4 linked regions of the Schizosaccharomyces pombe genome follow. The gene in region 4 interacts genetically with the main gene of each other region. Each region holds a gene or a part of one and is shown on either strand. Other genes may lie near its edges.

Region 1 (6,435 bases), 670 kb from region 4:
CGATGGTCTGTTAAAATTTTGAAAGGTTCGATAGTGGATTCTAAATAGTGTCTCCAATGTTTGAGAGACTTAATGATTGCAAGCATTTCTTTGTCCGATACGCTATAATTTAATTGTGCTTTAGACATCTTTGCTGAATAGTATCCAACAGGATAGTATTTATCATCATCATGTTTTTGAGACAATACGGCTCCTACAGCGACATCTGAAGCATCAGTTTCTAGTAGAATCTTTTTACTGAAATCAAAGTGTCGTAGCACCGGAGGAGAAACTAAACATTGTTTAATGTTTTCTATCGCTTGGGTTTGTGTTGGTGTCCATTTCCAGCGTACATCCTTTTTCAAAAGATTATTGAGTGGATGTGTTAATTGTGATGTCTTTGGAATGAATTTCCTAAGATAATTGACAGAACCTAGAAATTGTCGTAATTCTTTACGATTCTTAGGTTGCTTCCATTGTAAGACTTTGTCTATATTTTCTTGACAAGGCGTAAATCCTTTTTCCGAAATGTGATACCCTATAAATTTTACTTGTGATTGATGAAATTCACATTTTGCTTGATTGATAATTAAGTTCGCATTTTTTAATTTCTGTAGAACGTCTTTAACATGTTTTACATGTTCAGATTCCGATTTTGAATGAATTAAAATATTATCCATATAACATACTACATGCGATTCTTTGACTTCACCAAGTATTGTATTGATAAAGTATTGAAAATGTGCTGGAGCTATAGATATGCCATAAGGCATTACTAGATATTCAAAAACTCCACGAGGACAGCGAAAAGCAAGTTTATGTTCATCTCCTTTTCTTACTCGTATCAAGTGATAGGCACTTTTGAGGTCAAGTTTAGTAAAAATTGTAGAACCTTGTATTTTAGCAAGTAATTGTTCAATAAGTGGTAACGGATATATATTGGGTTTGACATACTTATTTAAAGGTTTGTAGTCAACCACCATTCTCAAGGTGCCTTCCTTTTTCGGAACGAACATTACTGGACAGGCGTTAATGGCTTTAGATTCTCGTATAATTCCACTTTTTAATCCTTGATTAATTTCATCATTCATAGCTTGCATTTTTCCCGGTGGTAGCGGGTAATTTCTGATAGGTAATCTGTAGTTTTCTTGAGTTAGTTCAACTTCAAATTCTAACCCTTTTATTGGCTTTGGTAGCTTTTCCGTATTGGTTTCTGCAGTAATGTCTTTGAATTCTTTATAGATATCTGGTAACTCAGGTTCCTTGACAATATTTGAAACTTTGTTCATTTGAGAGAGCGTGTGTTTACTGCTAGATATTTCAATGTTATTGTCATATAATGTTGTGAAGGAGATAGCAGCTGGATGCGAAAATTTCTTTACAACCAAGAATTCTGTTTTGATTGATATTCCATTTAGACTTATGTTAAGTTTTATTGTTTTGCGATTAATCTTATTTGGATAAACTCCACCATATATCACACTTTTTGACCAGGGTCTGGTAGGCAGTTTATGTGCTCGAACAGTTTCTTCTGTTATAATATTTGCTTGAGTGCCCGTATCGATTAGACAGGGTATTGAGCACTTGAAGTCTGGAAGTTCAGCTTGTAATACCATTTCGTAACGTTTCCTAGTATGATTTAGGAATTTGTTAGATGAGTATTCTATTCTCGAAATATTTGTCTTCCTCAGGTTTCTGCTATTAGTGGTGTTATTTTTCTTTGGAAGGAACTCTTTTCCTAGATTTTTATTTTGCGGTTGAAAACGCTTGTGAGTTTTACCATACGAGGCTGTTCTTTTGTCCTCTAAAAAGTCATAAATTTCACTGATTTCCGATTTCCAGTAATTTCTTTCCTTTAATTTCCTTAAGGAATATGGCAGCATCCATAATATAAACAAGCGAGTATGGAAATCATCAACATTTGCCTTTGACATGAGTTTCCTTATAAATTGAACTTTGTCCAATTGATTTCTAAAACCTTCAAATGTTTTAGTTAAACGATCACCTTTGTTGGATCCTTGTACTTTCCCTGGTTGTCTGAGTAATTCTTGCCATGTAAGACTTCCATTCTCAGAAAACATGCGTTCAGCGAATTGTTGCTCTAATTCTTCTAGGTGATTCAATGTATACTGTCTTTTAGTATGCTCATTTGGGAATAATGAAGGGTATTCAGTAAAGTGTTGATCAAGTTTTGAAATGTAACTTTCAACATCCTTATTAGGATCGAATTTCCCTATCTCTGGTACATGCTTCGATAATATTTTTGCAAAAAGGTTTATTAAATGTTCGTCTGATGTTTGAATTCCATCCAAATTCTCTGGTCTCCATCGTTTTGCTCTTGCTTTCATATAACGATAATTTGCGTAGGACATTGTATATGTTTCCCTTTTGGGAGATTTCAAAAGGGATAACAGTCTTTCCAAAGTTCTTTCTCCTTTGAACCCAGAAGGAGAGAAATATATATATTTATGATATATATTTATTCAATAATTCCTTTTTCTTAAAAAGAGTTAATTGTAGATCACAAGAGTTCAGTTATTGTAAGCTACGCAGTTTGGTATCTGATTTAAGGATACGTAGAACTGTGGTGAGTTTTCCTTGTGATCTATTATATTACAATACACAGGTTGTATGAGAAGCAACTGAGTATAGGTATTGTATTAACTGGGTTATAATGTTACCTATCAATAATATAGCTCATAACTGAACTGAGGAACGAGGTTCAGTTGTAACGCTATTTATAATATTTCTAAATACTTGTTATCAACGGATATCTACGATATGATGTTGAACATGTGACATATAGTGATACGCAACGTAGTGCAGTATTGCTGACAGCTACGCAGTTTAAAATCACCTTTTAAATATACGCTTCTGTGATAATTTTATTAATATTGTACTGCGGTATGTAGGTGGAATGAACAGCAGGCATTGAAGATATTCTTCGTGTGAAGGGTTTAGGTAGAACTAACCACAAATGAATTGAAGGGTTAGAATTGGTCTAATCATAGTGCTATCGATATAATTGCTATATGATTAGTAACATATGTCGGTACAAATGTCGCACTGTATGTACTCTAAATAAACTGAACAAGTAGCGTATAGTGACATTAAGAAACCATGGTATTGCTGTCGTTAGGAGTTGCAACGAATACTTGCCTTGTTAAAGTTTTTATTAACTTCTAATTGTTTTTGAGTGTCGAAAACGAAGTAAATTTGAGTAAAACATCAGGATTAATTCTGACTAGTAACTTAGAAGTTTATTGGTAAAAAACATTTGTGAATAATGTATAATAAAATTTTTACTAACTTTTGTCAAGGATATTTCATGCAGAATGCATGTTTTACGATAAAGTCATTTACATTGGCTGCAAAATGATTGCAGTTGCATATTTAATACGGTAAGAAGCAAGTGATACAATATGAGTCCTAAGGTGTAATTTCGTTAGCTTTTGCATTGTCGGATTATATAAATTAAAAAAAATTCCTTTTTCATGTATTCATATTTCTGTGAATAAAAATAATAAAAGAATGCGATTTAGAATATTAATAAATTTAATGACTGATTAAGTCAAGTAGAACAAGCTCTCAACTTCAGTTTTCAGTGGATTTACGCTCGTCAAATAAATCTTATTGTGATAAATTCTGATAAAAGACGAAATTAAATAATACATCATCTTAAGTTCTGTATGAACTATCAAGATCATCAAGTAACCTCATATAGGCAGAAAGTTCCTTAATTCCATATTTAGCACCCGAGAAATGCTTCTCTCTGGTAACATCAAAAGTTTTTTCAACAAGTTTGTTATTAGGAATGAAAAGATTGTTCATGTCTCCCAAAGCATTTGCTGATGCATGCGTTTGGATTTCCGTGGCGGCCAAAAATTGATACATTAAATAGTAAGCTGCACCTACAGACTCGGCAGCAGTAATAATTCCATGATTACGAAGTATCAAAATATCCTTGTTTGCTATGTCTTCAGCCAAACTCTTTTGTTCGCCTTTGTCAACTACAATTCCATGATAATCGTGATATGTGACAGGACCAGATTGGTGTGAAGTTTGAGCAAGCTCAAGGAAACCATGTTTAACACATGAAACGCCAGCAGCATATGGATAGTGATTGTGCATAATGCTCTTCACATCTGGACGAGCCCTGTGTATCGCACTATGTATAACATAGCCAGCACGATTGATGCCAAAAACATCACCCGTAACACCAGGATGTTTGATGTTTCCATCCTCATCAACCTTAATAAGACTACTAGCGGTAATTTCACCATATCGTAAACCATAAGGATTAATCAGAAATGAAGCGGTTCCATCAGGTTCCTCAACCTTGGCAGTCAAATGATTTAGAATATTCTCATTCCAATGTTCTAAACCAAAAAGACGATATGCCGCAGCTAACTCAATACGCGTAGCAACCTCTTCATCAGTGAATTCATGCAGACATGACTTTCGGAGCATTTCACGAACGGCAATCGAGCTAAATTCCGGTTTAGGAGCGTAGGTTTTAGGATCAACTTTTGAATTTGTGGCTAGTCCTCTCGTAAGGTTTACTCCAGTAATTGCATAAGTAGAACGCAAACTATTATTTATGCATTTTGCTGCATTTTTCAAAGACAAAGGGGTAAATTTTTTGCTAAGCATAATTGGAATTTGATATAAGGTAAGCAATCTAAAATGCAGTTCTAGCCAGTCGTTATGTTAATGAAAGACCTTTAAAGTAGTAGAATAAAAATTCAAATGAAGGAAAAAGTGAATTAGAATTTATTCGCTAACGATGTTGTTTTAATGAAAGCAAGCTTATATTTATATTATTTTTCAACGTCATAGTAAGTGCCTAGAATCCTTTACATTTACTGAAATTCAAATTGCTTTGCCGAAATATTAAACTAATCGTAATAAAACACCATTCGAATGTAAAATTTTTGATGTACGTTATCTACGTTGCCGCGTAAGAGAGTAGTCAAGAGCATGCTAGTGTGTGATTTATTATGTTAATCTAGAATGAAATGCTACAATATTACTAAATCTCGAATGCGATATATAGAATCTCAAATTCAACCATATGCCCCTCATTCATAAATTCATTCTCTATATTTAAAAAAAATTAGGTAAATTATATTAAAACGTTAAATTGAATGACTAGCTTGAAAGTTGAACTCGCTCATCCAAAACTATTATGACTTTTAAAGCAATATTATCATATTTTTCGACCATATAGGTATTATGTGATTGGTTGATTGAAAGGCTGGTTGCTGATTGGTTTCGTTACACGAATATTATAATTTGACGTCACATTACGAGAGATATGAGAAGGAAAGAGAATAACATGTTCCACTAGGGAAACAGAATAGCTATGAGTACCAGTGTATAACGATATTTTGAATTTGTTGAATTCATCATCACCGTTTATTTTGGTATCAGTGATGGATGATAATTCATGGCATTTACTAATATGGGACGACATATCGTACATTTTTACACAAGTAACGGACATGAGCGCAAGACTGAACACAAGAATTAATGCTAACACCTCATAAGAAAAGTTAACAAGGTTGAGGATTGCTCTATTTCTCTTACTTTTTTTTAATCAAGTACTAACTCTATAGTGTACGTGTCAGTGGCTATTAACTCCCAATTCATTTAGATGTCATCCGGAATTAAAAAACGGATAACAAATTTCGGATAATGACTAAATATTGTTCCAATGTGGCACCTCAACTTTTGTACCATCGCTCTCATCCCTTTGCTATATTTCCGATATCCGGTTGTTTTACAAAAATTAAACAAGGGATTACTCGTCAACAACATACTCAACATCAGGTTATGATGAAGTTGTCGTTTGCTTAGCGAATTTTTGCTTGAGGTATACAATTTACTCAGTCCCTTCATTGGCTTTATCAACATGCCATAAATTAGTTTAAAAAATAATTTATCGTCATTACAATATCGGTATATTAGAATATAATTATATACTTTTACTATGAAATAATATTCTGTCTTATTCTCTTAAACAAAATTGCTTTGAAAATAAAAAAAATGATTGGCTGTTTAAAAATACTTCAACCGTAATATTGTATTATTGTAAACGAATATGTAGTGGTATAGCAATCGAATCTGGGGCCTTTCTATTGGTTAAGTAATTGAATAATTTTAACGGCCGATCCGTGAATCTTTATACCATAACAATTTTTTAGCTAAAGACACGGAATCGAAACATCGCTAGGTGATGAGTTAGTAAAGAATAAATATGGCTGCAATATTAAGCATGGAGAAGGACAACAACTCCATATTTCTTTGATTTGCTAGTTAAAATCTAAATTGCTATTGGTAAAGTACACAAAAATACAGTTATTGCTGGGCAAATTTTAACGTTATCATGAAATAAAAAATCAGTTCTAGAAAATAGTTACGACTTTCTTCGAAGCTGCAAACTTAAATTCCAAG
Region 2 (6,452 bases), on a different chromosome or scaffold from region 4:
TTTCCTAGATTTCAACTTTCTGCTGTATACCAACCATTTCCTAACTACCATCCAACAAAAGCACGTAATTCCCATTCCTAAAGCGAGAGCAATTAATGCTCAAATGAGGTTTATACATGAAATAGATATTCTCACTCTTATTCTTTAATTAATTATTAAATAGGGTGGTTTGTGAGTTTTTTTCAACAATATTAAGCTTTTCGTAAGCCACCTTTCGGAACTGCCTTTACAGGCTTTAAAACTTATATTCTATGGATACAAGTTCCAATGTTTTTCATTATCAAGTATTGTGGACGTCTGATAAAGCAAAAAAAGTAAAAGTTTGGAAAGATGGGACAATGCGCTTCCACAGCTTCAATAATCGTGGAATTCTCTACGATTCTGATAACCGAGTCGTAGATGATTTTTTCCTTAACAACAAGAGAATTGTTCTGGATTCTGAAATTGAATTTAATAGAACTATTGTTTACGTTGAGAATTTACAAACAACTACTGAAGCGAATATTCCACCTATACCGAGGAAATCAAAATTGAGTGAGACAGGGAAGAGGCCAGCTTATTTATTAAAACCATTCCAGCCTCCATTTCACTCCGCTAACTCAGATGTATCTAACAATTCAAATGGTGCTTTATCGTCAAATATGTTAAAAACACACGCTCATCATACAAATTCAACAAAATCCACGATCTTCCGGAACGCAAATTTGCAATCTTATGGAGTAGATGACTCAGATATTGGTAGTTTGAGATGTTCAAGTAAGCATCAACTGTCAGTAACACCGGAAATACAACCCAAAGCTAAGTTTAGACCAAACTCATATCTAGCTTCTTCTGTTGAGGAATCTAATCGAGCTAACAATACCTCTCCCTATCCCCCATCTAACTCATCCGTAACTGCGCTACCGAAACCTTCGAAAATTGCATATATCCCTGTTTTGTCAAAACCCAAGTCTTTTAATGGCACCTTGGTTGAAGATCCTGTAGAAGAATTTGGAGAAGACGACATAGCTTCTGACTTTTTTTCTTCCCCTTCTGCCGATCTCGAGGCAGATGATTTTACCACTCTAAATAATTCAAATGCTGGTCATTTGTTACAAAACCTAAGTAATGATAACGTAAGTGTCTCCGTGAAGGCATTAGAAAATGGAAATGAAGAAGTTTCTAATAATCATGCTCGATCTCCTCATTCTTCCCGCGCTTGTAATACCATACCTTCCAACAAAAACGATGGGCTAAATGATGATCATCAAAGACAAGATTCTTCTGTTGCAGAACCCAGTCCTACTTCTAAACGTCTCCGTTTGACTCGCCTTCCGTTACCTCTGCTTCGGAAACCCACGGGGAAACGACAAAACTTTATTAATATCACAGTTACCGACCCCTCAAAAAACTTGTACGAAAGAAGTGTCAAAACTGCTGCCGAGCTGGCATCGCTTCAAAATGTAACAGAAACAACTGATAATGAAATACCAAACTCTCCTGATTTTCTAGATGCAGCATCAGAAGAGGATGAACACATTCCTTCGCTAGATTCGTCATCTCTTTTAACACCTTTGGCTTTGCCCAACAAAAAAGCCTTTCAACCCGTGAAGTTTCGTGTACCGTCTTTTTCATCTCCTTTAGTTAAACCAGCATCTTCGTCCTCGTTTGGTAGGAGTCACTCTCACTTAGGCACGTCCCTTCGCTCAAACGAACTTAATGGATCTAGTGCTTCTTCTTCAATCTTTCTACAATCCAACAATGCAGTCAATCCTAACGTTTCACCTTCTACTGTGCTTGAACATGCCAAACATCCTTCCTTGGCCAAACATTCAGGTGTATCGCTGAGAACAGGCTTGTTGATATATCCTAAATATGCAAATGGTTCGAAAAGAAAAGACGGTTTTGGAGCTACTTCTATAATATCTTCAGGGGAACATTCGTCGTTGCCTAAAAACTCGAAATCCAGAAATGTGTCGGTATTTTCTAGCCCTTTTAATGTCCCTTCGTTTACTGTTTCTTCTTCGGACCAAGTCCAAAAGAAAAAAGGAAATGTTCCTAATGCTATTGAAACGGACTCTTCTCCTTCGGATACCATTTCATCCTCGCCTACTGTTCGAGCTGTAAATCTCTCACCCAGCAAAAACCAAAAGCCTCCGAAAATACTTACCAAAATTCCGGATATTTTTTCTAAAGCGGGAAAGAAATCTCCTATTTTACCAACTTTTCAAGAGTCTTGTTCGTTACCTATTGAGCCTTTTTCGTCAAACATTACGGATTTGCCATTTGTAAATACAGTAACACTTGCTTCAACGAGTAGCAAGATCAAAAGGGCAAAGTTAAAAATGCTAAAATTTAAGCATGCCATGACTACACAAGGACGCGATCTCGATTCGGACGAAGATGGTGACTTTATTTGAAATTAATTTTTCTTTCGTACGTTGAAACTTCTCTCTCAAGCCGACTTTGTTACATATAATTTTTAATTCAAAAAACAGTACTGAATTTTGATTTCTGGTTTCCTTCATGTATTATTATCAACATTTATTTTTCCATAGTTCATTTAGGTTTTAGCTATACTTATTTAGCTCTTTTACATATAATTAATTTTTTTTTTTTAAACATTAGATTTCAGCTTGTTTTTGGTGTTGTTAGTACAATTCTAGGTTTTGATTTTCATTTTTTAGTAGCACATACATTGCTTTTTCAAAACCTTGAGTTTCTTCTTTGAACCTTTGAGCAAATAAGTATCAGATTTATTCTTTTCTTTTAAAAAACCAACTATTTGGGTTATTATGAAAATGTTGTAAATATTTTAAGTTAAATTATCTTTTGTAGTCATTTATTTTCTATACATGTTTAAATTTTTCAGCACTAAATAGTGTCTGTTGGTGAGCTCCAAAAATCTTGTTAAAGATGGGTAAAAAGCGAAAACAGACCATAAAAAATGACTATAATGAAAAAATTACGAAAAGAAAGGTCAAAAATAATTTGACTGATGGAAAAGCTAGAGCGTTAACGGTTTTTGAGTCTTTACCTTTAGAAGTTTTAAGATTAATATTTTTGTTATCCAATAATTCGAATTTGGCAGTGACTTCTCGTAGTTTGAGACACCGATTATCTTTAAGGAATAATACGCCTATCTTCATGCCTATTGATTTTACTCTTTCAATGGTACCCAAAAGCATCATTCTCTCTATTCAACGTGGATTGCTACGCAGGTATTTTACACTTCAAATCCTTACAAAAATTGACGAATTAGTCATTTCGGGGTTTGTTAAAAAAAGCCCTAATGAAGATATAAAAGATGGTCGAGTTATACATGCAGGACACGAAGGTTTTATACCAAAACGTATTCTTTTCTTACCCAATGCAGAAGATTTCATTGCAGAGCTGGAACATCGCAACTTTTTGTTTAAAGCTTCTTCTCTTAGAAATGGTTTTCTGCTAGCATTAAAACAACGGAACATACCAGTTATTCGTCAAGTAGGTAAAATTGTTACTGAACGACTTATTTCTATACCTGATGATGAAGTTGAGTTTTGTTTCCTCACCTGGTTCGAGTACACAATGGAGCAAAATTCGGTGGAACTTTTGGATATAGTTTTTGGGTTTTGGAACAATATAATTGAAAAAAGATTTTCTAAATCTTTTATTGACTCTTACCTAACGAGACTTGTGGATATAGCAATTTCAAAAAATGTTACAGAGATCATGTACTACTTGATTGAAAAAGGTGCAATTCCTCAATTACCTAACCTTTTGAAGCTTTTTTAAATGCTTAAGTTTGTAATCAAAATTGCTCTAGCTTTTATATCTTATTCATCATATCATTTGCATCTCGTTCTATAAAATAAATTTTGTATTCGAGGTATTTAATATTCATCTTCACGTTCCTTTTTATATGCGTTGTTTCCTTTTTTCAAATAGATTCAATAAAATAACTTTTTAAAAACCAAAATTGTTATTTCTTTCGTTTAGTCAAAAACATACGAGATAACATTTCAATTTTGAGAGGGAATAACATGGAATTATTTTACGCATGTGTGCATGTTATTAAGCTTTTTACATATTTTAAAATTAGTATGTACGCACATTCATCTGAGCTCGACTCTCAAAGAATTAGCTACTCGGTTCCTAAGCTTTTCCTGTAGCTTGTCAATTTCTTCGTTTCTAAGGGATCTTTCCATACTTCTGTAATTGACTCGGTAGCACAAGCTCGTTTTTCCAGATTTGGCAGTATACTGATCAATCAAGTTAACAGATTCTACCATATCTTGACAGACATCCCGTATGATCTCATAAAAATCATTTGGATTAAAATCATTATTGATCCAAAATGCAATGTCTTTGAAACATGCTGGGTATTTACTAAAAGGCTTAAAAGTGCTAATCTTGTTAGGCAAGAATTGCTTCGAGAATCGTTCATCCAGTGACCAAAAAAGCCGAATATCAGGAATACCGTACAAAATCATTGCGAGACGTTCAAGACCAATTCCAAAAGCCCAACCAATGTAGTTATTTAATCCTGCACCTTTAAGCAGCCTATCCTGGACGACCCCACATCCTAATATTTCAAGCCATTTTCCTTTCCAGTCAATTTCTAACTGAAACGAGGGCTTGGTAAAGGGGAAACTGTCGTACGTCCAACGATACCGAACCTGTTCAGCTCCGGAAGAAATAGAAGGAGCAAGTGATACCAGGTCATGAATCACGGTGGTCAGAGTATCCTTTAAATGTTGGGAAACAAATTTTGTCTCTTCAAGTGAATAAATATCTTGCATGTCATTATGAGTTTCTAATGCAGTAGTTTCATCATCCACCATTGACTTAAGAGATGGAGAAAGAGCTACTTTTTTTAGATCATTTTTCATTTTTGCAGTATCATTTCTGTTCCACACCAATGCACCTTCCATTTGATGAAAAATTGGATAATGACTAGAATCCACTTCATCGCGACGGTATACATCTGCGGTTATTAAGAAACCATTTTTCTTAAATCCTTCTTTGGCCAAGCGAGAGAACTCTTCAGGTTGATGAGCCGAGGTATGGGTTCGAAGACAAGTTTTATTGTTCATATAGTAAGTATCGGATTTGCTTCTACTTACATGTGTCTTGGGAAATCCTAAAGAATCAAAATTCGTCTCTACAGAAACAATAGGTGATTCTTTTTGAACATTATTCATTTCGAATTTTTGAAATTGCTGTTCGAGAAGTTGTCGTAGACTGCATATGGGATGACCTTCTTTTTGAAAAAGGTTTCGACCAATTTTTGAGTGAATATGCTCTGGGACATTGGACCAAGAATCTGTTTGGACTTTTCTTTTCCAATTGGGAAACCTTCTCGAAAATAGTTTCGATAAATGAGAGACTCGATGAGGGAACATTGATTTCTTAAATAACACACTTCACTTTTTGTAATCAAACAATGATAATTTAAATTAGAACAACGAAGCTAACTATTTTTAAAATTAATATATAATAATAATTTAATAGAATTCAATCAATCGGTCTTAATTGCGTCCCATTTGAAAGTAAAAAAATGATAGTACCCAAATATAGGGGTTGTGCCGTTCTTGGATACAATGAACAAAGGAGTAAAATTCGAATCGTTTAATTTTCAAGCAGTGGTTTATAGATTTGGTCAGTTTACAAATATTTCATTCATTGTTTTTGCATAAAAAAAATATATGCTTTAATTTCAAAAGCCATTATCACTCAAATGGATTTCATTACGACGAATTGCAAATTTTATTTCCATAAGACTCCTGACATAACTTTATTTAGAAAGATAGAGCATCATACTGTACATAAAGTTGCCAACTTCAAAAGAAGTGCAGAAAAATTATCAAGGACTTTCTTGTAATCGGTCATATTAGATCAAGTATTTAATAGCTTCACTGTCCTATAAGCCGTACAATCGTAATGTAGGCTACAAAAAACTCAACATTTCAAATAACATTTCAAATCATCCCGATTTTAAAGAAAGCAGCATTCTGCGTATGAAAATTCATTCAAACCCCTAACAAGTTTGTCATCTACTAACATTTTACTCCAAGAAAGGCTGGGGTTTAAAAATTAAATAAAACGGTTTGAAGCGTAACAGCAAAACTCGAACTTTGTACTTAAAGTACGATACAAAACTTGACTTTAGAAAAGGAAATAGATTAGACAACACTAAAATCCTCCAACACGAAATTAGAAGGTCCTGAACGTAATGATACTAAGCTCATGAAATCATGAAAAGGGAGAAACTATTAAGGTGTTCACTAAGGAGGGGAGGATAATTAAATGACTTGATTAGTAATGAAAGAAGGAGTTTGCTTATCCCCGATAATAAAAAATTGAGAAAACTACCAACATACTGGACAGACGTTGTTCTTGAGTAAAATGACAAATATCATGAAATTAAACCAGTCTAAAGTACAAGGTATTTTTCCATGCGTGACTGAAAAAAACTAGGATGATGGTTT
Region 3 (8,553 bases), on a different chromosome or scaffold from region 4:
TATAAAAGCTATAATATATTTAAGGCAAGTATTAAAATTAAAATATTAGATGTTGTAAGAGATATGTCAAATATGCTTTAAATTTAGACTAAGATAAATTGTAGTATGCAATCCTCCATCCCAATTGTAATCATCTCCATTATTTGATGATTCTAACTTTAAAAAACAAAACTGGTATCTGTTAAACGCTAGACGAACTTACTATAACAACCGAACACTCTTTTACAATGCGCTCCGCATTTTTTTAGTTTCCTTCTTACTCCAAGAATTGCAAGCTTCTTTATGTCTAAAAAAACGAAAAAAAAACAAATCGTATTTTTGATAAACTTTGACACTCATTTCTTTCGAAATAGCCTTTTATGTAAACACATCGGGTTTAGTTATACCTTCCCAACTTCTTGGGTAGAGTAGACTAACTAGGATGCAACCCATTCATACTATGAATTCTCAATTGCTTACTTCTAAGTCAAAACAAAGCATTATTTTCTAGAAAAGCTCGTAAAAAGGGTTCTCTTTTTTAAGCTTTACTAAAGGTCAATTTTTACAGTCAGTGTTTTCAACTTGGTCTAAACTAACAATAAAAAACTATCACTAGTTCTTTTCGCAAGCATTTGATTGAAAAAAAAGGCAAGAAAATATTAAAACGTCCAAGTTTGTCCGAGCGTTTTCATCATGATTGATCAAATATAAGCATTCCAAAATCTTTAAAGGCTTTCGTACTCAAACTAGAAACTCGGAAAATTCGCCAAGAACGATCACACCTCCCATTATGTAGACGATGTCGTTTAGGTCTTTTAAAGCCATTCATCTCAAAACCACCAATTCCAGTAAAAAATAAAACACGTCGACTGTAAGCATTTTTATTTGATAAACGAAAAAAACTCGATAAATTGGAAGATATTTAAAAACTTTATAAACTTGCAGAATCTCGTCCGCAAGCACTCACATGTGGTCCGAACCTATCCTGTACAACAAAAGGTTTACAAATGTTGCATGAAAACCTCAAGAATCATACTTTTCAAGTATCTTTCCTTTAGTCAAAACACAGAAAACCCATTGTTATTAACCCCATAATATATGCACATTATCGAAATTGTTTATTGCTGACGGCACTCAGCAGCGTTTTGCTGGCCATGAGCAGTGTGCTTGCTATCACTGTCCTCCTCATCGGAATCGGAAACTTCTTCGTTAGAAGAGGATTCAACATCATCTTCATCCTCTTCAACATCTAAGTCGCTGAATCCGTCATAGTTTTCAAGAGCTAAAGCCTCACCAGTAAACCACTCAACGGCACGAGGAATGAGTTTCTCTTTGAAGTCCTCACCGATTTGATAGTCAAGTTCCAACAATTCATCCAATTCAGGGCTCTCCGATTCTTCGTCTTCCTCAGATGGAGGAGTTGGGGGATTAAAAAAGTTGAAGAAACTGTCACGAGGAACGGAAACCTTTACGACACGAGTTTGTTTAGTGTTTTTATTGCGTTGCTTTTTAGTAACGGTACGAACAGTCAAATCGGCATTTTCTTTCCAATCAACCTTATCGCCCTCAGCATGATCATACAAGAAAACGTTGGACGGGCCAGATTCCTCCATGTAATAATAAGTTTTGGTGAGAATCTTGTTAGTAAAGAATGGGTTTTCAGCAAATTCAAATTCTAATTTGAAACCAGGCTTTTCCATATAGGAAATGCGAATATCCACAAGGTGACTTAAAGCTCCTTCATCTTCGGGAGTAATCATTTCAGACAAAGACAAAACATTCTTCATAGCGGTCAACCAGAACTCAGGAATACCCTTAGTATCATCACCACCTTCTTGTTTCTTAGACTCAGAAGAAGTAGGTTCTTTCTTTTCGTTCTCATCGGCAGCTTCACCCTTCTTAATTTCCTCCTCGGTAGGTTCGTCAGCGCCACGAACAACCTCAGATCTTCTCTTAAAAATAGGTGCGTACTTCTTTGCATAAGCTTTTTCCAACTCAAACAGCTCTTTTTGGAATTGAGACTCCAAGTCGCTGTATCGCTTTTGCAAACCACGAAGTCCAGAAATCCTTCTTTGCACGGCTTCAGGCAATTCTGAAACTCCTTCTGAAGTGAGATGTAATAAAGAACCCAATTTTCCGTCGATAGCCTCTAAATTCTCATCTCCTTCGTCAATAGTATTTACTTGAGGAGCCTTCGCACCAAAGTTGGGAGCGCTCGTCCCCGATGGGGTGTTATGGGGAGTTGGGGCGGCAGACATTTTTCCGGCCCTTTTGTTATTAATATTAACGTTCTCTACCATATTAATTCTACTTGTTCCAGCAATCAATTATGCTTCAGACGCTTTCCGTACGTCCTTTTAATAACACTGGGAAGGGTAGTGGTAGAAGCTAAGTGTAAGAATATTTGCTGCACCCTGGGAATCTACCTACCCGCGGAACTTCCGAGCTCATCCTCGGGGTTTCCGACCTTAGTGAACAGTGCATCGTTGTGTTACGGACACTTTCTTTATTCCCGAAGGGGGTTTTTAAAAATAAAATTCGATGAATTTAGGCTCATAGTTAATATTATTTATATTTTTAAGACTAGTAAAGATCAGGAAGAGCTGAATTAACTGTAGAAGAAAGCCCTTTATATTCTAACAACATTTTGAAGCTAGAATCTTTTTGTCTCATTGAAATTATTCTATCATTAAATTAAACATCAGTCGAATAAGTATCGAAAATTGAGGTAAAAACTTTGCTGAACCAAAGGTTACTTTTTAAATGTTACTGGGTTAAATTTCGTTTTTGCCCAAGGCTACATTACGACGATTAATAGCCATGAACAACTCTTCCAAATTTTGAGACAACGACTTCTCAAGTGTTAAACGAGTTTGGGATTCATTCAAACGCTCAGCATTTCTTTTTTGCAATATACACAAAAAATCTGCTAATAAGTTAAGATTCCAATGATCTGGAATTTGCTCGCACACGTAGGAAAGCGTATAAGAAAAGGGTCGACGATACAATAGTTCTTTAATAAAATCACTACATCCATCTCCTGTTGATATACATTTTTCGAGCAAATTGCACCAACACTGAGGATAAACATCATCAATTTGAAGACAGTATGCTTCACCGCCCTTATAGTCATGAATATTCGTAACCAAAACGGATAAAGCTTTTTCATAATTCTTCTTCCTTTTGTAAAACGAGTGTTCAAGTTGAGGAAATAGATATAAATTGTCAACATGAATGTCGAACAAAATATCTTTTATTTTATCTATAGATTCTTCTTCAACATTTTCCATCAGATTAATAGAACACAAATAGTAAAATGAAAGATGAGTACTGAAATCACTCATGTCCCCCCAAAGTTGTTCCAAGTATTGGGCATACGTAGGTTTCTCCATGCAAGGAAGCTCCCTAAATGTTTCAATGGCAGTCTCAAGGCGATTTTTAAAATCGTTATGATCCAATAAACTGCCAAGCAACTTATTAACGCACAACTTTAAAAGTAGCGCTCGATGAGTGACGGAATTCGACTTTACAAGGTAATCAATCAAAACATCATCTTGAGAAGAATCCAAATGCTCTAACACGTCCTCTGCAGAAATGGATCCACTAACTGTTTTGTCAAGCAAAACGCGCGTACCCTCCGTTGCATCGTGTTTACAAAGCCATGTAGTAAATTCCCAGAATGTCGAAGGCTCAATATCATTAACCAAATATTCTCGTATTTTAATTAACCCATCGTTGAATCTCCGATCTTCATAATCCCCTGTTATTAATTTCTTCCAAGTTTGAAGAACACCATCGTGATCCCTTACAGTAGCCAATAACACGGAGAGTAAATAATACTCTTTCTTCTGTATCAACACATCTTTTATATCTTCAACACCAGTTAGACCAGACTCTAACAACTCCTTAGCATTTTTGGTACCGGCGGCTAAATCATCCATATTTAAATAAAGGAGTAATAACGAATGCTCTACAGCAAGCATCACGTCTCTTTGCGAAGATAAAAGATACTCAGATATGCTCGTGTTCTTTTTGTAATTTTTCAGATAACGCATCAACATGATGTATGCGTTTTCCTTAGTAATTTCAATCATTTGTCTCTGAGTGTATTGATCAGTATCACGAAACAATTCATTAGATTTTAAAACATTAGCAACAGTATCATCGACGGACAATATGCTTTTGCGAAAACTAATGACACCTTGAAAAGCAATATAGGAAAGCTCCGAATGATAGAGATCTGGATAGAGGGAGATAACTACGCGAGGATCAATTTTGGAAGTTTCAAGCAAAGAGAGAGAATTTTCATACTGTCCTTGCTTCCAATACTGTAATGCCGAGATTTGCTCCAAATAAGCAGATTGAAGATAAGCGACATCATTGGTTATTCCATACTTCTTCGGATTCCGCAATCGCTTACTCACTCGACGCAGAGGGGCTTCAATATCGCCTATGGTAATACTGAATTCTAGTTTGTTCATAAAATGAGCTTCAGCGCCAAACCCCCAAGATTTATTCGTAAGAAAAATAAATGAAGGCTTGCTAAAAGAAGCCCTTTCTATCGTATCAGAAGTTTTTGAGGTAGACGCAGTATTCACAGCAGAGAATTTACTAAATATTTGGCGATCACAAAAATGAACGCTTGTCAATCGAGAAATAAAAGAGAAACTTTCATCATCCTTCAGATTAATACTTTTAACAAGACTGAGAGTATTTATGTCGATGATCTGTAACGAACTAGAAGAAATGGCGAACACATAATGAGATGTAGAAAAAACATGTTTTGGATAAAATGAAAAAGTTAGAGTGCTTCTTGTGACATTCCCTTGGGAATCTACAAAAAGCCCTATGGCATCTTTGGGACTACCGGTAATCAAGAGAAATTCATTAGAATGCAAAACAATCATGGGTTTGTACATTAGCCCATTATTTTCCGAATCGTATTTGATAATGGGAAAGAGGGGAGTAGTATCAAAGGTGAGAATATCCAATAATTCAAAGGAATTTTCGGTAACTAGACAAACGATATGACCATTCACACGAGCAGTTTGAATATTGGGGTATTTAAGTTCCTTGTTTATTGTTAATTAGCGCTTTTATGAAGTAAACAATTTAGCATCTAACATACATTTTTGACTAGTATGATTCCATCTTTTTGAAATGAGATGAGCTTTAAATGAGTATTGGTCACAATTAAATATGTGCTTTTCTCGTCAATACGTTGGCCTGGATGACAGAATTCCACCAAGCCTTTAAAGGAGATGGAAGGGTAAAGCTGAGTCAAATCATCTTCCTTGTATACTTCTGCGAAACTACCTACCACCGTTAATTGGTATTCCAAAGTTATCGTAAACCACACATAGCTTACCATGATGAATAAAAACTGCGCCAAGAAAAGGCATTGCAAGAATTCGGTTTACACGAGATTTCGACACCAACGAAATCTTCTTTACAAGCTCTGGTGATTCATTTAACTAATACGCGTGTTAATGCAAACAACCCTGTGCAACACACGAATAAACACAAACCTGGAAATTTGAAAAATTATAGAGGAATACATCACCACCTTCCGTTCCAAAGTATAGATGGTTATCTAAAAAAATCAAATAGTTAGCAATATAGCCCCGGATGCTTGCCTTACTATAGAGCGCAATGGTAGTTACAGGGGAATCCAATTCTTTAGGAATTGCTGACTCATGCAGCTCAATATCAGACATTTGTAAATTTTGAATTAATGAAAAGATTCATTAAACAATTATATTCATGAAAAAGCCCTTTGTAAGTGTATCTGTTGCGTTAATATGGTTACTTTCAATATGAGTAGATCTGGGTAGCGTGTAACCCATAGTAAACGAAATGTTATGATATAGAAAGAAAGTAAATTTAGAATTTCTGCTAATTTAAATAAAAATTAGATTCTATTACAAAACTAACTATTCAAATACGTGGAATCCTTATAGGAGATTCTCTTCCAATCTTAATCCATAGTAATTCTAAGTTAACTTGCAAGCATCCTGGGAGTTATAGCAATTTGAGATAGCCTCACAGAGTGAAATAGCAGGAACTATAATAATTGCACACAGAAGTGATTGTATGTTTGTTGACTGACTTAATTTCAAGTCTCTTCGAAAATTAATTGACTGAATAATTTGATAGCTGATCTAAAAAGATTGGCCTTTTGTCAATAGGCTTTGCATTATTCCCAAAATACAAGGCTACAAAAGCAAAATCAATACAATATACAATCACTTTTCCAATCGAATTAAGCGCCTAATACATATTACTCATTTCCATAAAAACAAATTCTTATAGCGAAGTGTTTAATGGAACGTTGTGTAACTCCCAATTCACTATTTCAGCACGCTGACATCGCGCTATTTCATTGAAATGCTAAGCACAAAACAAATACTAAACATTAGTCATTTTAGTGTTTCGTTTTAATAACTTGCAACATAATGGCAGTTGCTTCAGAAGCTTTACTCCAAAAGCTAACGGAGTCATGGAAAAGTTCGTGGTGTTTTGAATTTTTAAGCAAATAGCAAAGTTACTAACGTGAGATAATAGATTCGCGGTTTGAGGAATTACAACGGGAAGCAGATGAAGCTGCAGCAGAAATTGAGAAGATGCAAAAGACATCTTTGGATGAAAGGAAAGAGCTTTCGTCAAAAACGAAGGGTATGGTGTCTATTATTGCAGCATACCTAGTATACATTAACCCTTGCTAATATTGTTAATATACAGAATTTCGCAAGCAGCCTGATGAAGTCAAGCTAGGCGAAATGAAGGGCCTTTTAAAGCTTTATCAGTCTGGAATCGATTCTTTGACCAAACGAGCAAAGTCCGCTGAAGCAACATTCTTTCGAGTGTATGAAACACTAGGCGAGGTTCCTGATCCCTACCCTTTGCTGATTGAGGCTGCGAACAACCTTAAAACTCAAAAACAGATTGAAGATTTAAAAAAGGAAAAGGAAGAAATGGAAGGCTCGCTACAGGGTAAGGAAAAGCTGGAACGTGAAGTGGAAAATTTACGAAAAGAGCTTGACAAATACAAGGACCTTGTAGAGACTGAAGCGGAAAAGCGTGCCGCAATCACAAAAGAAGAATGCGAAAAGTCTTGGCTTGAGCAACAAAAGCTATATAAAGACATGGAACAGGAAAATGCTAGTACGATTCAAAAATTAACTTCAAAAATTCGGGAATTACAAGCATCACAACTAGATCATGATTTACAGGCCAGTCAGAATGAATCAGCAGGGTTGGACGTTAATGCCAAATCTGCCGAAGTGAATGCTATTCTTTCTGAATTGGATGATGCTAACAAAATCATTGTCGAATTGCAAGCAGAAATTGCTGTGCTCAAGCAAAACACCAAAGAGCAAAAGAGCGGGTCGTCACAGGATGACCTGAGTAACCAGCAGAAACAACAATTGGATTTTATGGATTCTCTTAATAAAAAATTGTCTACTGAATTGGAATCAATAAAGGAAGCATCAAGAAAAGAAATGGAAACACATTGTGCCACCATTCAAACGCTGGAAAATGAAGTTAAAGAGGCCCGCAAAGTTAAAGAAGAAAGCTTAACATTGGCCAATAAATTTTCGGATTACGACGAGATTAAACGAGAACTATCTGTTTTAAAACAAATTGAATTTAGTGGAGAACATGCGACTCATGAAAACACTTCTCTAGAGTCTCAATTACTCAAGCGCGAAAAGCAACTATCTGAGGAGTTGGCCAAGCTACGCTCCACAAATGCCCAGTTAACTGATAGAATTACTCAAGAGTCGAAGAAGGCTTCATTTTTGGAACAAAAAGCTTCTGAACAAGAGGAGGTAATTCGAAAACTAGAGAAAGACCTTGCCGATGTTGATGTTGAGGGAAGTGTTTACTTGTCCAACACCACCTATCGCCGTGAAGGAACTAGCGGTCAACTTTCTCCAACATCGTCAATCATGGGTGGCAATCCTAGTTTATTTAACGGAAGCGTGTTGTCAAGGAATTCAGTTAACGAAACTGGTTCTGCCATTGTTGACGTTATCAAACAGCAAAGAGATCGGTTCAGACGTGCGAATGTAACTTTAGTAAACCAAGTGAGTGCTGCAAATGACAAGATTGCATTATTGGAGAGTAAATTGGAGGAGGTGGAAAAGAGCAACACCCTTCTTTATGAACAAATGCGTTTTCGCGACCATTATCAGAAGCATGTTGAGCCTAGCTCTTCTCACCTCCAAACTGCCGCAGCCTACGAAAACAGCATTTCACCGTTTGCCTCGTTTCGTAAAAAAGAGGCTGAAAGAGCTTATTCGAGAATGGGTTCTTTTGAGCGAATAGTGTATGCTTTATTACGCACCTTGTTATTCAGCAGAGCAACTAGGGGGTTATTTTTCATGTATCTAATACTTTTGCATCTTTTCATTATGATTGTTCTTTTAAAATTGGGAATCGCTGGCAATACCGCATATACTCCTATGAATTATTGACGAAATTAAAAGTCACTGAACGAGAGTGGAGCTAGTACCTACTAATAAGCACTTCAAATATTGCCTTAGATGGAAAGTATGCTGTCTCAGGGAA
Region 4 (10,519 bases):
CCACTTAAGAAGAATTAATTAACTCTAAAGGATTTCACAAGTACATAGGTTCATTTGCGAATATTCATCGAACACGACTCAGTCACTAGTATTCACCTACAAACGTGTAGTTCAGATTAGATACAAACCTCCTCAGATCACTTGCTTATGTACAGAAAAAAATACACTCACAGGGAGGTAGGAATTTAATTTACTCAATATGGGTTAATAATGGACTTAGTAATTTCGCATTAATTATGGCGTTGAAATTTCTTTACGTTTCGGTAAGTTTTTTTACGAACTCAATAAACGCGTTGCAAAAAGGTAAACAATAAAGGCGATTTGGAAGAACTGAGACTTTATCAGACCAACTTTGAATTATTGTAAGAATCCTAAAAGTTTTATAATGCAGATAATATTTACTGAAAATGAGGGAGCATAGTGAAGCACAACACTCAACTATTCGTCTGTAAAGTGTGATCACTACAATTAGTAGCCTTCTGATACTAATGTAGACCTTAAAAGTAATTTCGGAAAGTTTATACTTATTAGCTTCTAACAGATTTCGATTTAATACAAACTGAGCACAAAAGATACAGCATGAAGCCATTACTCTCAAGCTGAAGAAATATGTCCTTTATTTTCCAAGATTCAGTCTGCGTAAATCTAAAAAATTGAGTTCTTAATATCAGATTATACGCTTTAATTTAATATATATTTATATATATAATAAAAGCTGTCAACTATGCGATTACTAGGAAAAATAGCGAACAAAAAGTAGCTTGAGTTCCCATGATCTTTGAAAACTTAGAGATTTGCTGATGTGTTAAACATACTGTCAAACTTTGATAATATGGCAATCATTCAATAGCTCACAACTGAAATGCGGAATGTTGGTTAAGATGTAATTTATTTTCATTTATTCAATTAGTATTATCAACTTTAATGAAGACCATTATATCATCCCACAGTCCTATTCTTTAATATTTAAAGAGCTATATTGAACAGTAATAGCTAACATAACATAGTATAGCATAAAAAACTGCATATGGAAGATACTTCCCATGGAGTTCAGTAGTTACAAAAGGTGAAAGGCTAAATAGCGTGCTATTTTGTGAGGCGCTAGGTAAAACGAAATGCACGGTTTTACGTGGGATTTAAAGTACGCTAATTAGGTAAGTTTTATAATTGCAATTTGTACCTACAAAAAACCAAAGTGTTTGGAGCGGCGGAATTAAAAAGAAAATATATTATTGATAATGCCCAAGGCTCCAAAAACTAAACTGCATCATGCTCCTCTTTATAAGGACATTGCAGAATCTTCAGAAAGTGGTGTCTTGAGACAGAAACCTAGCAAACAGAAAAAGTCGAAAGAAAGCAACACCGGAAACGGCTTCTTGGATGCCAAGACTTCTAAAAAAATTTTACAATTAGCAAGGGAACAAAAAGAGGAGTTGGATGAAGAAGAAAATGGAAAACCTTCACAGATCAGTGCTTTTATTAGTAATGGACATCAAAAAGACACTTTAGAAAATCCGGCAATTGAATCAAGCTATGAAGAATCAGAGCATGCTAGAAATGTATCCGATAGTGAAAGCATTACTTCTCAAGAAGAAGAAGAGTATGAGGAGCTTGAGATAGATGATGCTGACCGAGATTTATTCGATCGATTCCTCCCAACCGTGTCAGGCGAGGAAGGAGATCTAACAGAGGAAAAAACCACCTCACTATCCGATTTGATCATGCAAAAAATCAACGAGGCTGAAGCTCGCGCTCGTGGTGAATATATCCCTTCTGCAGAAGAGGAGGAAAATGCCTTACCTCCCTTGCCTCCCAAGGTAATAGAGGTCTATTCAAAGGTTGGGGTTTTACTTAGTAAATACCGCTCAGGAAAAATTCCTAAAGCTTTCAAAATTATCCCTACGTTGTCTAATTGGGAAGACATACTTTATCTCACTCGACCTGACATGTGGACACCTCATGCTTGTTATGAAGCTACTCGTATTTTTATTTCCAACTTAAAACCTGTACAAGCTCAACACTTCCTCACAGTCATTATTTTGGAAAGAGTTCGTGATGACATTCGTGAAAATAAAAAATTAAATTACCATTTATATATGGCTTTGAAAAAGGCATTATACAAACCGTCTTCTTGGTTTAAGGGTTTCTTGTTTCCTCTAGTTCAAGTATGTTCATCGATTTCTTTACTTAATTATTAACCTCTTATAGGAGAATTGCACTTTGCGCGAAGCCGCAATCATCGGTAGTATCCTTCAAAAAGTTTCTGTGCCGGTTCTGCATTCTGCAGCCGCGTTATTACGTTTAACTGAGTTTGACTTGAGTGGTGCTACTTCCGTATTTATTAGGATATTACTCGACAAAAAATATGCTCTACCGTATAAGGTGCTTGATTCTTTGGTTTTTTATTTTATGCGATGGAAATCATTGGAACGTCCACTTGCTGTATTAGAACATCAATCGATGTTGGTCTTTGCTCAACGGTACAAATTTGATATTACACCCGAACAAAAGGATGCACTCTTAGAAGTTGTTCGCCTGAAAGGACATTATTCTATTGGTCCAGAAATTAGACGTGAGCTGCTTAACAGTGCTAGTCGTGGTGAAGAAATTCCTGTGGAAATGGAATATTAATTGAATGGTTTTGGTTTTCTTGGGTTCACTTGGCATTTGTTTCTTTTGTAAAAAAAATTGAATAAAAAGACTTCGGATTAGCCGCTGTTTTTCAATGTTGGGAATATTTTTACTTAAATTGTGGGTTTTATGTTCACCAATTAATAGGATTATTGAGGTCTATAGATTTGTTAATTAATTTTTATTAAACAGACTTAAATATAATAAGGAAATTGGCTTAAAGCCTTCTATTTTTCTACAAAAGCTTCATTAAATCATCAATACAATTTTATGTTCGTAAATTAATGGGTATCCATCACAAACAACCATGACTTTTACATTTCTGTTGCGGCAAGTTGGTGGAATATCCATTGAAATCCGAAGGGATAAACGAATTGAATCATCGTTTCTTCGCCCAGCAAATGAGGCCCGACGTATCGCGAACAGTTCTTGAGTTTCTGAATCTATGATGAGAACGAAAAATCCCTCACTTTGAGGTTTAGGGAACAACGGCGCAAAAATGTAAAAATCGGGGTTGAGCGGCTGATTGAGGCGTCGTAGATAAAGGAGTAGCTTATCTGAAGACGATTGAGAAACTTCAATGTTCATTTTAGGATACGAAATTAAACTATTGACCAGACTTTCTATATCAAAAACGTTAGGGTCATTACATAGCATTTGATATAACTCATCAGTTTTATTTCCTGCAAATTTGTTGAGATAATCTCTTGCTTCCTTTTCACTAGACGCATTAAGTCCAGGTAATGAAGCTCTGTAAATCTCACTCGGATAGCAAGCCTGTTTAAGACACTGCATTAGAGATATGTACTGTAAACAGACATGGGAGTAGCCTAGCTCAGCGGACACATCAATATAAGACTGTATAATACGAATAACCTGATCTAAAACCGTGCTAGTATCAGTAACATAATCATCCACTGGAAGTTTCAATCTTGCCATGTGAGCTTGAGTTAATATAAATGCCTTAACATGAGCATCGACCATAGGAAGGTTTAGGCAAGCAGCCGAATATTTCAGAGATTTATTAATCTCTATGTTTATCAAATCTTCGTTGTGACGAATAGCGAGATCGTCAAACTCAGATGCTTCAGCAAGCAATTGCAACGCAAGATCGAACTCAGCGTTCTCAGTTATTTTTTGAACGAAGTTTCTGATGGTGGTATGAAAAAGATAATAGTAACTAACTATACGACCCAAAGTTGTAGGTGCATAGGTTTCTTCGTTGACACGATATATGCAAGCTGACTTTTCAAGTTCATTAAATGCAGTCACAACAAGTTTCGATAAATAAGTATCTATACTCTTTTGGTCATCTCCATCAGCACCGTAATAAACGGGATTTTGATGAACTCTTCGATAGAAGTAAGTGCACGTTAAAAAATCCATTGCACCCTGTATGCAATCTATAGTGCCCGTAGCAATCTCGGCATTTAAATGGTTATCCAATACTTTATGTAAATAAGACTCTACTGGAAATCCACTATGTAGAAAGTGCTTATAAAACGACTTCTTAATATCCTGTACAAATATACGTGCCACACCAGAATTGTCAAATTGTGGTCGTCCTGCACGCCCTAACATTTGAAGCACATCCGTCAAATCCATGTCTTTATAGCCTCCAATTTTAGCATCGTAATACTCTGTTCCTTTCACAATTACCAAATGTGCCGGCGTATTTACACCCCATGCAAGAGTGCTGGTGGCGATGAGAATCTGAACTTTATTATTTACAAAAAGCTCTTCGGAAATTTTTCTATCATTTTCAGTCAAACCAGCATGGTGAAGTGCTATACCAAATGGTAAAGCCAACTTGAGGCTTTTATCTTCAACTTCTGAAACAATCATTTCTAATTCTTCTTCATCCATGTACAAAAATCTCCTAGGATTGTCTTCTAAACCACAAAAAGCTATCAAATCTTTTGCAGTTAATCTAGTTTGACGGCGCGACGAAACAAAAATTAAAACAGGTTGGGTAGGAGAGTGCGTTTTGATGGCTTGAAAAGCAGGCTTATTCATCGACATCATCCTTGGGCAATAGGCTCTACCAGGGAATCCATCGATATATATTTCTAAAGGAACTGGGCGCACGGAATGCCTAAAATTAAATAGACCATCTCTTATGTTAAGCCAATTTGCAAGATCGTTAGCGTTAGCAACAGCAGTAGATAAACCAAGAACTCTAACTTTCTTATTAGTTTGAGAAGCAACATAATTCATTCGGGAGACAATCATTTCAAGGACAGGACCTCGATCGCTACCTAATAAATGGATTTCGTCAAGGATAATTAATGAGACATCCTGAACATACTTCCTAGATTTCCAACTTCTAGTAATACCATCCCATTTTTCCGGTGTTGTAATTATGATATTTGCATTCGTAACAGCCTTAACATCCGGGTTAGTATCACCAGTTAATTCAATCATACTAATCCCCATTGGTTCAACTAACCTGTGTCCCCAGTCCTTTACTCTTTCCTTGACTAAAGCTTTCATTGGAGCAATATAAACTACTTTCGACTTAGGATAATTGTGAAGAGCTCTCCAAGTAGCTAATTCTGCGGCCATAGTTTTACCAGATCCAGTAGGTGCACCAACGAAAATATTTGTATCGGTGTGATAAATAGTGTGAAAAAATTGAGTTTGGACTGCATTAAAAAACGAGAATCTTTTAGCGCATATACCTTCTAGCACTGGATCGTGCAAAGCCGTAATTGGTAAAGGTTGAAGATCCAATAATTCTGTAATGGGATTGGAATCGTCATGAAAAACAACATTAGAAAGAGAAACCGGGGTAACTGTTTCAGCGCCTAGCCATTTATCTGATACTGCAATAATGTATAGTTGTGAGGGTAATGGATTAGACACAGGTATGGTAAAGGATAGTAAATGAGAAGTGCTAACGTTCCGTTTATTTAGGAGCAACTGTTCATGATGAAGAATCTCAAGACCGTTACTATCTTCAACAAATATCCAAAACATTTGACTGTTTCCATGATATCTCATGTCCCAATTAAAATTGGGAGTGATATTTAATACAAGTCGCAAAACGTTTTTCGTTAAAGGTAGCAAATCAACATTAATGTTTAAAAGAGGTAATTTGGAAATAAATTTTTTAACTGTAGGGCCCATTTTTCGGTTATGAATAAGATCACCAAGTTCTCCTGTAGACATGTCCGACAATTCTTCTAATGATAAAGACCCACACTGATTTTCCACTTTGACTGCAAGGTCATGTGGAAGATCAAACTGAAGTAAGGGGTGTTCAAAAGACCACTGCCTCCTATCAATTGACTTGTTTAAGCTAAGGATAGTAAATGCCGAGGCCCAAGTCCTTGACATTGCAATTTCGAAAAGAGCCCTAGTTATTCGACCCGCGTTTTGTGCAACATAATTTGTATCTGATGTTAGGGTAAAATCTTCTACATGCGCACGAGAAATGTATGACTGCAGAATAACGTTAACTTTTCCTGATGTATTCGAAATACTATCCCTCAACTGACAAGGACTACTGTTTTCCATTAGTGATTCAAGCTCACGATGCTCATTTTCTCTCGATTTGATTTGGGAAAACTCGCTGCATTGGCTCAAAAGAGCTATAATGTCTGCTTCCGACATTTTGCTTTTCAATAAATTATTTAATGTTGAGACAGTTTGATAATTGATATAGTAATTGGACGCGATTCTACCTAAATCTTTAGGAATCAGGTATCCGTTTTTCTTATTGTAAACGATCATTTGATTATCTGCCAGCCTTCCTGCCGCTACAGATACCAATTCTCTTCGCTTGCTGCCTAGTAAAGGATCCTCAACAAGTTCGTCATAAGCAATACCGTATACAAGTGGATTACGTCTCATCCTGATATAAAGATAAGTATAACCTAACCACGATACAGCTTCGTCAATATTAGTTACCGTTCCTAAAGAAACTTCAGCGTTTAAGTTGTCAACCAATCTATCGGTGAAACGAGATTCAATAGGGCTTTGTTGTGTTACAACGGAGATGTAATGAGAAAGTTTATCATGTGTCGTAATTATGTACGCGACTGCCGAACTTTCAAACTGAGGACGACCAGCACGACCGAATATTTGTAAAACGTCCAACACGCCAAGATCTACAAAAGAACCCTTTTGTGGATCATAAAGCTGAGTTCCTTTAATTAATACAGCATAAGCCGGTAAATTAACACCCCATGCTAGGGTAGCAGTACAGCATAAAATTTTAAGAATACCCATAGAAAACAAACGTTCAGTAAGATGTCGGTCCGATCGTAACATGCCAGCGTTGTGAATCCCCATACTGTATTTGAAAAGTTCTTTTAACTCTTTGTTTTTTGACTTTGAAACATCTCTTTGAGCTAGACTATATTTTTCATGTTGTGAGTTGTCCAACAAATCAGCCTCTCCCTCATGGAAAAATTGTTCCCTCAACTTCTTAGCTGAATTAATGGTTTCCTTCCTAGAATGTACAAATATCATTACCTGATGGCCTTCCTGAATCAGTTTCAAAACTTTATCAAAACAAGCTTCATCAATATTTGAGTTTACTATTTTAGGAGAACCTTTAGCACCGATGAAATGCTGTTCAATAGGGCATGGACGAAATGCAGATGAAAAATAAAACAATCCCTTGTACCTATTGACGCCTAAAAAATCAGCTACATCAAGGTAGTTTGGAAGTGTGGCAGAAAGACCAACAATTCTAATCATCTGTTGACTTGTTTCTACCAGCCTTTGTGTCCTAGCGACAAGTGATTCAATAACAGCACCACGTTCATCATGAAGCATATGTACTTCATCAATGATAACCAAACGTACTTTCTCGGCTAACTGAGTGTCGCCGACGCTTTTTCTAGTAACTACGTCCCATTTTTCAGGTGTTGTAACAAGTATCTGAGTTTCTGCTATTTCCGTTTTGGTTAGTTGCATATCACCAGTAAGTTCTCTAGTTTTCAATCCCAACCAAGCGAGACGTTTTCCCATTTTCTCTACAACCTCAGCAGCCAATGCCTTCATAGGAGCAATGTAGACAATCTTAAAATCATCTCTATGAACATCTAGAGGTTCCGATTCATCCATAAGATTCATACTTTCTACATAGTTGGAGATTGTTTGCAACATTGCGAGCAGAGCAACATCAGTTTTTCCTGCACCTGTAGGTGCACAAATTAACATATTCTCGTTTGTCTTGTAGGCGATAGGATAGACAAGCGATTGGATTCTGTTCAAAGTTTGGTAGCTAAGGAATGTTTTTCGACAAAGAATATCCATCGAAGAAATTTCTAACAACTTTTCCCCTTGCATTTGTGGAGCACGCTGAGCATGAGGAACAATAATCTCTTCATATTTCTGGTAATCTTCTCTTTCACTACCAGCCGGTAATGCAAACTTTTTCCCAATGACGCTAATAGTATTACCAAGCCTTTTATCCCCATACACATGAGGATATTTTTCCACTTCAAAAACTTGCTGTCCAGTAAATAAAGGACCTCTGTTATCACGAGACCGACTAAATCTTCTCGGCCTACTTTTTAAACTGTCTAATAATCCCTGACCATGCGTAGCAGAAGAACCAGCTTCAGAGGTATAGCCATCAGAAAGTTGCGCAGCAATTGAAGTATCATTTTGATTCATGTATTCTTCTATTAAATTGGACGAATTAGCGACGATATCTGAAATCAAGTCAATATGATCAAGTCCAACAAGATTCAGTAAATCTTCTTGAATGGCACATTGATCTTCAGTCGCTTTTAGGCTCATAATGACTGCTTCAAATAGTACTGAAGCATCAAGTTCAGTACTTGAAGATTGAGAAATTTCATTGCAGCAATTTTGCAGCCAAGTTAAATCTTTAAGAGCAAATTCATTATTGTCGGAGTCAGTAACGTCCTCGGGATTGATTAAATTATAATTTGTTTTCAAAATTTCGTCAACTTTTAACGATAAAGCACCTAGCTCAGCATTCGAATCACTCAGCGAAAAGCTATATGGAGTATCACAAAAACTAGCAGGACCTAGCTTTTCTAAGTGATTCACTACATAATTTAACTCAACTTCCATGAAAACTGTAAAAGGATAGATCGTTGAAATTAAAACCTCCTTAAACAGAAAAAATTTGAATTTTTATTGCTTTTATAGGATTGTATCCAATATACTACCCAATTTAGCACTGCTAGTAGTGTAGGGGATGGTTTGTAAACAAATGGCCACTACCTATTATTTGTGTAATAGAAAAATACCGTAGTCGAAGGTATTATGTGTGTACATACGATTGCAAGAAGTATGGCGTTTTCAACCAAAGCAGAAACAAACTTAACCCACACCATTAACTTGATTTACAGCATATTTACAGAATGAAGCTGTATTCTGTCTCTATACTCCGCTTTGACCCAAAACCAGTGCAATTATTATGCACTGCCTCAGACTTATCTAGTTTCTCATTTTTTCAACGATCATCGTATGTGCAAGATTTAATTGAAGAGTAGTTTGTTAACAAATATTTCAGCATCGGAGAGTTCATGAATTTTTTTACAAAGACTGTTGCAGAACGTACTAATCCAGGGCAAAGACAAGACGTTGAACAGTCCAATTACGTTTTTCATGTGTACAACCGATCGGATGGGTTGTGCGGTGTGATTGCTAGTGACAAGGAATACCCTTTACGTGTTGCTTATACTCTTCTAAATAAGATTCTAGACGAATTTTTGACAAAAAATCCTCGCACCAAATGGGAATCTGGTGCTGTTACCCTATCCTTTCCAGAATTGGATACCTATCTATCAAAATATCAAGACCCCAAGCAGGCTGATACGATTATGCGAGTGCAACAAGAATTGGATGAAACTAAAGATGTACTTCATAAAACAATCGAGAGTGTCTTAGCTAGAGGAGAGAAGTTGGACGACTTGATCCAACGTAGTGATAACTTATCTACACAGTCTCGAATGTTTTATAAATCTGCTAAAAAGCAAAATTCTTGCTGTATAATAGCTTAATTATTTTATAAATTCATTTGTTTGGTTTTCCTTTCTTCCCAATGCCCAAATTATATCATATTTTTTCAAGTTGGTATTCTTGCATTTTGTTTGCTGCAATTATCGATTGAATATCAAAACCTTGTTAATTTTTCTGCGCCTGTTCCTAGAGTCCATGAAATTGTTCTTCTATCATTATCTTTAATCTGATCTTTTCATGACACGTTGTTTGCATTCCGGATTGCTTTTATGTTATAGAGTAGATTACTTGTTGAAAAAGTCTAGCATGTTTCAATGAGCATACACACTCTTCGTTGATGCTCATAGCATGAATGGTTCACTTTATAAACTTGTAAAGGAGATTTTTTTAAAGATTGTAAAATTATTGAGTTTGTTGGAGCGAGAAAACTATCGGGCTTTTTTCGTTACAGATTTTTCTATAGTTTAGATTTATCTTCTAGTATATATCAAGTTACACAAACTCAATTGTTGTTGGCAAGCAAAATGGTTTGGTAGTAATTTTCATTATTCGTTAATGCTATTATGCATTTCTTTGATAAAATAGTTCAAGAAAGGTAGTGGTTTGGTACCCTTCGTTTATTGAAGTAAAAGTTTGAAGGGTTGAGGAGTATGTGCAAGCACGCCATCAATATGCTGCAGATGCAGCTGCATCTATATTTTATTACCTTCCCGGTATAGGTTGCTTCTTCTTATAATAAAGCGATTTGCATGATCGAAAGCCCTCCTTCGAGCTAGGTATTATGGTGATTAATTCTCCATCCAGTGTATAGTAGTTTCCTTGATAGAGTTTTGCTTTTTCTTGGAATTGCTTTGCATCCTCTACAAAATGATTTTCCTTATTGTGCTGCATGTGAATGTGTGCAAGAAAATTGGTGTAATGGATTAGTAAACAAACA

What was found.
Region 1: mutations in rqt2 (region 4) and SPOM_SPBC1289.14 together harm fitness more than expected from each alone (negative genetic interaction), as found in Schizosaccharomyces pombe (one large-scale study listed by BioGRID).
Region 2: mutations in rqt2 (region 4) and SPOM_SPCC736.02 together harm fitness more than expected from each alone (negative genetic interaction), as found in Schizosaccharomyces pombe (one large-scale study listed by BioGRID).
Region 3: mutations in rqt2 (region 4) and vps3 together harm fitness less than expected from each alone (positive genetic interaction), as found in Schizosaccharomyces pombe (one large-scale study listed by BioGRID).

What each region holds. Positions count from the first base shown.
Region 1 is NC_003423.3:4,410,573-4,417,007, reverse strand, and holds SPOM_SPBC1289.14 (adducin), read right to left. Parts: upstream 4,768-6,435; 5' UTR 4,633-4,767; coding exon 3,658-4,632; 3' UTR 3,409-3,657; downstream 1-3,408. Other genes in the region: Tf2-11 (retrotransposable element/transposon Tf2-type), read right to left, coding at 1-2,351.
Region 2 is NC_003421.2:310,288-316,739, forward strand, and holds SPOM_SPCC736.02 (uncharacterized protein), read left to right. Parts: upstream 1-2,895; coding exon 2,896-3,756; 3' UTR 3,757-3,939; downstream 3,940-6,452. Other genes in the region: DNA recombination protein Dbl2, read left to right, coding at 252-2,399; msf1 (phenylalanyl-tRNA synthetase), read right to left, coding at 4,077-5,366; Golgi alpha-1,2-galactosyltransferase Gma12, read right to left, coding at 6,438-6,452.
Region 3 is NC_003421.2:473,293-481,845, forward strand, and holds vps3 (GTPase regulator Vps3), read right to left. Parts: upstream 5,770-8,553; 5' UTR 5,697-5,769; coding exon 5,621-5,696; exon of another isoform or gene 5,573-5,620; coding exon 5,508-5,572; exon of another isoform or gene 5,454-5,507; coding exon 5,348-5,453; exon of another isoform or gene 5,296-5,347; coding exon 5,108-5,295; intron 5,052-5,107; coding exon 2,754-5,051; 3' UTR 2,491-2,753; downstream 1-2,490. Other genes in the region: histone H2A-H2B chaperone Nap1, read right to left, coding at 1,098-2,279; coy1 (CASP domain-containing family protein), read left to right, coding at 6,435-6,486, 6,544-6,654, 6,721-8,459. UniProt on the Schizosaccharomyces pombe protein: Required for sorting and processing of soluble vacuolar proteins.
Region 4 is NC_003423.3:3,741,188-3,751,706, forward strand, and holds rqt2 (ATP-dependent RNA helicase), read right to left. Parts: upstream 8,823-10,519; 5' UTR 8,689-8,822; coding exon 2,881-8,688; 3' UTR 2,786-2,880; downstream 1-2,785. Other genes in the region: SPOM_SPBC13G1.15C (uncharacterized protein), read right to left, coding at 254-589; enp1 (bystin family U3 and U14 snoRNA associated protein), read left to right, coding at 1,239-2,165, 2,209-2,631; SNARE protein Ykt6, read left to right, coding at 8,982-9,085, 9,134-9,623; protein smp2, read right to left, coding at 10,285-10,473.